Linked DNA regions of Macaca fascicularis. The protein of the gene in region 2 purifies or fractionates together with the protein of the main gene of each other region. This does not show direct contact. Links are inferred from orthologs where the notes say so. Each region holds a gene or a part of one and is shown on either strand. Other genes may lie near its edges.

Evidence for each region.
Region 1: the proteins of CLTB (region 2) and CLTCL1 purify together in Homo sapiens (affinity purification with mass spectrometry; 3 studies listed by BioGRID and IntAct, with this or other methods). This does not show direct contact. The link is inferred for Macaca fascicularis from reciprocal best matches to the Homo sapiens genes CLTB and CLTCL1.

Annotation. Positions count from the first base shown.
Region 1 is NC_088384.1:33,619,420-33,623,230, reverse strand, and holds part of CLTCL1 (clathrin heavy chain 2), read right to left. Parts: intron 3,372-3,811; coding exon 3,191-3,371; intron 1,897-3,190; coding exon 1,733-1,896; intron 621-1,732; coding exon 495-620; intron 1-494. UniProt on the Homo sapiens protein: Clathrin is the major protein of the polyhedral coat of coated pits and vesicles. Two different adapter protein complexes link the clathrin lattice either to the plasma membrane or to the trans-Golgi network.
Region 2 is NC_088380.1:183,287,748-183,291,558, forward strand, and holds part of CLTB (clathrin light chain B), read right to left. Parts: intron 759-3,811; coding exon 641-758; intron 421-640; coding exon 309-420; intron 1-308. UniProt on the Homo sapiens protein: Clathrin is the major protein of the polyhedral coat of coated pits and vesicles.

The DNA.
Region 1 (3,811 bases), on a different chromosome or scaffold from region 2:
TCCTGTTTAGCACTGCGCTGTGTCCCACCAAAATTCACTTGCTGATGTCCTAACCCCTAGTGGGACTCTATATGGAAAGAGGGTGTTTAAGGAGGTAATCAATGCCAATGGTGCGGCCCTAATGCAATGGGACTGATGTCCTTCTAAGAAGAGGAAGAGACACCAGGAATGTATATGCACAGAGGAAAGGCCCTGTGGGGGCACAGCCAGGAGGCCGTCTGCAAGCCTGGAAGACGGCCTTCACCAGAAACCAGCCCTGCCAGCACCTTGATAGTGGACTTCCAGCCTCCAAAACTGTGAGAAATAAATGTGTGTTGTTTCAGTCACCTGGACTGTGTTCTTCTACTCTGGCAGTCTGAGCACACTAACCCACCACCCTTCAAAATGATAGTCTCTGAAATGCCAGATGTTAGAGGCAGCCTCTGAGGTGAAGACTATTGTCACTGACTGGGGCCCAGAGGCAGCCGTGGGTCACTCCAGGGAGCCAGCAGTACCTTCTGCACGTAGATCTCAATGTACCTCTGCAGGTTGTTGTGGTATAAATACAGGACAAGGTCATGGACAAAGCCAAAACGATCGCACACGATGATGAGGGGAAGCTGGTCTGTGAGCTTGGCCTCCTGAGGATTAGAATGCACAGAACAAGTCAGGGAGTGGAGAAACCAGACAGCCAGACCTCGGACTCATTGCCCATATGGGACAGCACTGTCTCTGCAGCAGAGTGACATGTAGGAGACTCAGAATGAGACTGCTCTAGATAGGCTGTCGTTTTGTGGTATGGTGTTTGCTTTGGAAATAAGTGAAAGATAATAGTATTTGGTTAAAGACCGTTAAATGTGGCATTAACATTCCAAATCTGGACAAAAATATCTTTTAAGACAAGCAGCTTATTACGTGCAAACCCAACAGAAACCAGGCCATTCTCAAGAACAGCACACCTGCAGTAAAGGCTGCCTTTTCAGACATGCAGCCGCAGGCCATGGAAACACACCTGGGCACCATTCCCAGATGATGATGGCACTTGGGTAGGACAGCCACAGGTCACCACAATCATGCCTCCCCCTTGTGTGGTCCCATACCTAGATCACATTTCCTGGTTTCCCTTGAAGTTTTAAGTGTGGCCACATGACCTCATTCCCTCCAAGGGGACGTGAATCCAAGTCTCATCTGCCACTTGCAGGCCTCGCCCATAAAAACCACCCATGCTGGTTCCTCTGTGCTCTTCCCGTCTTCTAGCTGACTGGGAAGACGACATCCAGGTGAGGTGCTGAACACCGCAAAGCAGCCATGAGCCTGGTCCTTGAAGGACAGCGGGAAGGAAAGCCACCCCACTGACCTCCAGCCCACCCAGGACTGCCACATAAGGAAGCAGGCTTCCTGTTCTTTATGACACTAGTGCTGAGTGGTCTACTTGTTTCTGCAGCTTTGCCTGCTTAATTGACAATGGCACTAATGGGATGTTGATGAGTTACAATGCAGCAATAAACTAACTCCCTCCACTCACGTGCCAGATACTTAGAGCACAGCCTCAAGCTGCGTTCCACGTTCTTAAAACGATAGAAGGGTTCCTCTAGAACTTTAAGCCATAAGGCGGAGCTCTGTCCCTGGGACTAAGGGGTCCCTGGCGAGACAGATCCAGCTTCCTGCCTCCTGGGACGTCCTGCGGATGGTCTGCCCCACCTGCCATCAGCAATTCAGCTGTGGAACACAAGGAGGCAGTGCTGGAACACACCTTCAGGAAGTTCTTCACACGCTCTGGGTTGTAGCAGCTGCTCTCTCGGCATATCCTCTCCACCTCCTTGATCTGCCCTGTCTTATAGGCAGCCTGAATGTATTTCAGATGCACGTCTGGGTCTTGGCTGAAGTTCACGATTGAGCCCAGGAAGTAGAAGAGGCCTATGAAGAGAGACTGTTTCATTTTTGTCCTTGCAACACCCACCTGGTCTCCTCCGTAGCTGCTGTCCACCTTCCCTCGATGACCCTGTTCCACTCTCCAGGGACCCACCCTGCTCCACTCTCCAGTGGACCCACAGCCCACTCAGAACTCATAATCAATATGCCATCTGTCTGTTTTGGCAGCTCCCAAAAATAGCTAGTCAGATTTCCATCAAATTTGGCAGGCATACCTGGCATGTTTTGATGTAAAATACTAGATATTTGGTACTTGTGAAATTCCTTTTGGGGGCCCAGGTATACCTAGATAGTCGTCGTCAAGAGTAATTCCCACTGAGGTAATCTGAGAGGGCTGTGGGACTGATGCCAAGGGAGAGAGAAATAAGCCACGGCCTCCAGGAGGAGGCCTGCAACTCTGGACAGTAACGACAAGATAGGTACATCCGAGAAGGCCCCCGCCTGTCGAGGTCTTTCACTGTAACTGTGAGACTCTGATGCTAGGAAGGGAATGGGCAGCCCCTAGGCCGATGGTTCCCCACCAACCTACTCTACTGCTCTTTCCCAGCCCAGCTCCACTCAATCGTCCGCCATGGTCTTTCCTACAGTGTTGTATTCTGAAGAGAAGGCCAGATCCCTGAGGGCAGGGTCCTGTCCTACCCTCCACCGATGCCCCAACCTCACCGGACACATGGCAGTGGCTTGATGCCTAGATAAATGCTTAGTCTCTATCCTGGGTGGGCCAGACAGCCCCCACCTGTCCCTAACAAAGCTACTCCCACCCCCATTGCCCTAGAACACTCTTTTGGGGTGATGTCCAAAAAGGGGAAAGGAAGACAACCAAGTTGCCTCGCCAGCCCCTGCTATCAACTGGGTTAGCAGATACTACAAAGCAATGCACCCTCTATCGTGGGCTCTCACTTAGGAGAGGCCCACAGAGCCTCCCTCCTGGGGCTGTGAAGACCAGACATCAGGCCCTTTCATGGTACCCACGACACAGGCTTTTAGATGAATTCTTGCCAGACTGTGCTGCACAGACACACCGGGCTCCATAAGTTTCTCCACTCCATCACAAACCAACCTGATTTCTTCCTTTGGAAATACCAAAAAGGACACTGAAGCTGAGGGTGCACATGAGATGGCAGTCGCATTCTGCCACTGACTGAGCACCCAAGGCAGCGAGTGCTGCATCCTGCCTGGCTTTGCAGGAAGGTCGTTTTAAGTCGGGCAGGTGGACCGCAACACCTGAGAAAGGAGGTGTAGTCACGTGGTGGGGTCGGCGAAAGGCTGCACGGTTTACCTTCATAACTCTTGAAGGATTCAAAGAGTTCCACCAGGGCCTGCGTGCCCAGCTGCTCATGGTACTTAGAGGCCACCTGCACACACAGCTGAAGGTTCTGTCTGATGTTAGCAGACAGCATGGCACGCAGACACTCCACAGAATCCTCCACCGACAAGGAGCCGAAGAAATTGACAAGCCACTGGGAACAAGGAAGAGTCTGTCCACAACAATGCACCACTACAAAGATTGCTAACACTTGGAAAATAACTAGGTCGTTCTCCTGTTCCCCTGAGTGTCAAAAATAGAGAATTTCCACATAAAGGGATTGAAAAGCAACTATCCATCATGGGAAAAAGTAGGAGCAAGGAGTAAAGCTGGGAAAAGACACTGATCTAAACAGTTCACCTGCAATATTCCACAGACGATGCTAAAACTTATTCCATAAGTTGGAACACAATAGCTAGTTCAGCTTTGCTAATGGTTTCAGACAGCCCTGTTAGGTTGTCAGTGTTAAAAGGTGACCAGTATTCCTGCTATTAGACTAAGTCAAAGGTGGACATCAGAAAGAAAGGTACTACAGGGCCCAGACATGCTGCTGAGCAGATAAACATTGTGCGTGTGCTGAACCAGAAGTGCTTT
Region 2 (3,811 bases):
TCATGTCCCCATAGTCCCTCTCATGTCCCCACAGCCCCCTCATGTCCCCATAGCCCCCTCATGTCCCCACAGCCCCCTCATGTCCCCACAGCCCCCTCATGTCCCCATAGCCCCTCTCATGTCCCCACAGCCCCCTCATGTCCCCATAGCCCCTCTCATGTCCCCACAGCCCCCTCATGTCCCCATAGCCCTTCTCATGTCCCCACGACCCCCTCATGTCCCCATTAGCCCCTCTCATGTCCCCACAGCCCCCTCATATCCCCCTCTCATGTCCCCACGGCCCCCTCATGTCCCCACAGGCCTCTCACCGGTTGTTGATCTTGTTCTTCTCTACTTGTTCACTCTGGCGCTGGTTCCACTCCTCCAGGTCTTTCTTGGCCTTCTCCCGCCATTCCTGTTCTGTCACCTTAGATGCAGCATCTAGGACCCCACAGAAGAATGAGCGGCTGCTTTCCAGCTGGGATGCACAGGCCTGGCCACCCCGGCTGCTCCTCCCCTGGCCCCTGCCAGGCAGCCTCAGGGCCACACCGGCCCAGTCCCACATTAAGGCATGCAGGGTTCCATGCACTCCGAGGACTCCCCACACATTCCACCCCACACACAGCCCACCCAGCCAACCCCGGCCCAGCCCCGCCCTCACCCAGCTCTTGCAGCCGTTTCCTCTGCTCCTCTCGCCACTTGCGGATGCTCTCAGGCTCCTGGGTCAGCCTGTCAGCCTGGGCAATGGCTGCGTAGCCATCAGCAGGACCGTTGGCCTCCTACAACACAAACACGCAGCAGTCTATCCAGCCAGCACACCTGCCCCACTGTCTCTGCTGCCCCTGCTGGGGACTCGCTCATGTCTGGATAACTGGACCTCAAACCACCTCATACCCACCGTCTCCGGTGACTACACCTATCTTTGCACTTGCTGTTCCCTCTGCCAGCAACACTCCACCACCTGTGTGACTGCAGGCAACTTACTCACCCTCTCTGTGCCTGATCATTGCCTCCGGCCCAGTCATAGGCTTTGATACCCCCCAAGCAGGAGACTCAAGAAAGCGTGTGCCAGCTACTTTCTTTGTCATAAAATGGGCTAAATAACAGTATGCACCCTGATGGGAGGACATAAGGATGAAATGAGTTAAAAATTATAAAGAACACTGGGCGGGTGGCTCACACCTGTAATCCCCGCACTTTGGGAGGCCGAGGCGGGCGAATCACCTGAGCCTGGGAGTTCAAGACCAGCCTGACCAAAATGGAGAAACCCTGACTCTACTAAAAATACAAAAAATTAGCCGGGCGTGGTGGTGCATGCCTGTAATCCCAGTTACTCCAGAGGCTGAGGCAGGAGAATCACTTGAACCTGGGAGGCGGAGGTTGCAGTGAGCCAAGATCGCACCATTGCACTCCAGCCTGGGCAACAAGAGCAAAACTCCGTCTCAAAAAATAAATAAATAAAAATAAAATATAAAAATACTGCTTGGCACAGTGAGTCCCTTATGTTACTGTCATTAAAATCTCTATTGTGGTTGTATCAACTCCTAACAGTCCAAAAAGACCTCACTTTTTTTTTTTTTTTTTTTTGAGACGGAGTCTCGCTCTGTCGCCCAGGCTGGAGTGCATTGGCCGGATCTCAGCTCACTGCAAGCTCCGCCTCCCGGGTTCATGCCATTCTCCTGCCTCAGCCTCCCGAGTAGCTGGGACTACAGGCGCCCGCCACCGCGCCCGTCTAGTTTTTTGTATTTTTTAGTAGAGACGGGGTTTCACCGTGTTCGCCAGGATGGTCTCGATCTCCTGACCTCGTGATCCGCCCATCTCGGCCTCCCAAAGTGCTGGGATTACAGGCTTGAGCCACCGCGCCCGGCCTCTCACTTTTTTTTTTTTTTTTTGAGATGACGTGTCCCTGTTTCCCAGGCTGGAGTGCAGTGGCGCGATCTTGGTTCACTGCAACCTCTGCCTTCCAGGTTCAAGCGCTTCTCCTGCCTCAGCCTCCTGAGTAGCTGGGATTACAGGCGCCCATCACAATGGCTGGCTAAGTTTCTCCATGTTGGTCAGGCTGATCTCGAACTCCTGACCTCAAGTGATCCACCGGCCTTGGCCTCCCCAAGTGCTGGGATTACAGGCTTGAGCCACCATGCCCAGCCCAAAAGGACCTTACTTTATAATGTGTTTGTCTGTCTCTGCCATCAGGATGTCACCTCTGTCCTTTTCACTGCTGTGTCCCCAGAGCCCAGCACAGTGCCTGGCCCAGCAGATGCTCAGTAGATGTTTGTTGAGTAGAGAAGAATCCCTGAGATATGCAGCATGATCATAGCTCAGATCACACCATGGGGAAGAACGTGGACTCTGCAGCCTGGCTTTCTCGGTTCAGATGCCACCTCTCATACTATGAAATGTTTGTAAGGCCTGGGAGAAATTGCTTAACCTTGCCTGACTTTTGTTTTCTCATTTGAAAAATGGGGCTGGACATGGTAGCTCATGCCTATAATCCCAGCACTTCGGGAGGCTGAGGCAGGAGGATTGCTTGAGGCCAGGAGTTTAATACCAACCTGGGCAATACAGCAAGACCCTGTCACTATTTTCAAAAAAATTTTTTTAATTACAGAAAAAAAAGGCCAGGCACGGTGGCTCATGCCTATAATTCCAGCACTTTGGGAGGCCAAAGCAGGTGGATCACTTGAGGCCAGGAGTTTTTGAGACCAGCCTGGCCAACATGGCGAAACACCGTCTCTACTAAAAATATGAAAAATTAGCTAGGCGTGGTGGTTGCTTAGGAGGCTGGGACTTGGGAGAATCGCTTGAGCCTGGGAGGCGGAGGTTGCAGTGAGCGGAGATCATGCCACTGCACTCCAGCCCGGTCCAGAGTGAGACTCAGTCTCAAAAAAAAAAAAAAAAGAAAAAAAAATGGGAATAGACCAGGCATGGTGGCTCACGCCTGTAATCCCAGCGCTTTGGGAGGCCAAAGTGGGTGCATCACATGAGGTCAGGAGTCAGAGACCAGCCTGACCAACATGGTGAAACCCCATCTCTACTAAAAACACAAAATTAGCTTGGCATGGTGGCCCGCGCCTGTAGTCCCAGCTACTCAGGAGGCTGAGGCACAAGAATCACTTGAATCCGGGGGTGCAGGAGGTTGCAGTGAGCCGAGATCACACCACTGCACTCTAGCCTGGGCAATAAAAGTGAGACTCTGTCTCAGAAAAAAAGAAAAGGAATAATATTAAGAACACCGCTAAGAGCTGTTGTGATTTCATTAATATTTGTGAGACATTTAGAAGAGTGTTTGGTGTGGAGTGCTGGCTCAGTGAATAGTAGCTAGAATTACTACTATTATTATTCCCATTTTACAGGGGAGGAAACTGAAGCCCAGAGACATGGGACAATGTAGTGGCAGAGCCAGGGCTAGAGTCCAGGTCCCTGACTCCCAGGCAAGGGCTCTGCTCACGTCTCCCCACCCCCCTTGCCAGAGCTGGGGACCCAAAGCGCTGAGGACTATGAGCTCTGCTCACAAGGGTGTGGCACCCTCTGGTCTGGCAAAGCCTTTCCAATCCAGGCCCAGCCACACCCGCTCTGGCACCCACGCCCTCCGCATTCCTGTCTGCAGGCATTCCACTCCAGCCGCCCCGCCTTTGTCTCCTGGGGCTTCTGGCCTGCAATAAGTCTCCCCTTCCTCCTCCTTCAAGCAGTTATCAAAACTGCCATGACTGCCCGTGTTGTTTGACATCTTCTCCCCACAGGAGTGTCTGGCACACCCTCTGTCCTATGGCGCCCACCTATCCTCAGTGCCTGAATGAGCAAAGATCCCGCAGCCAGCAGGCGCCCGGTTCTG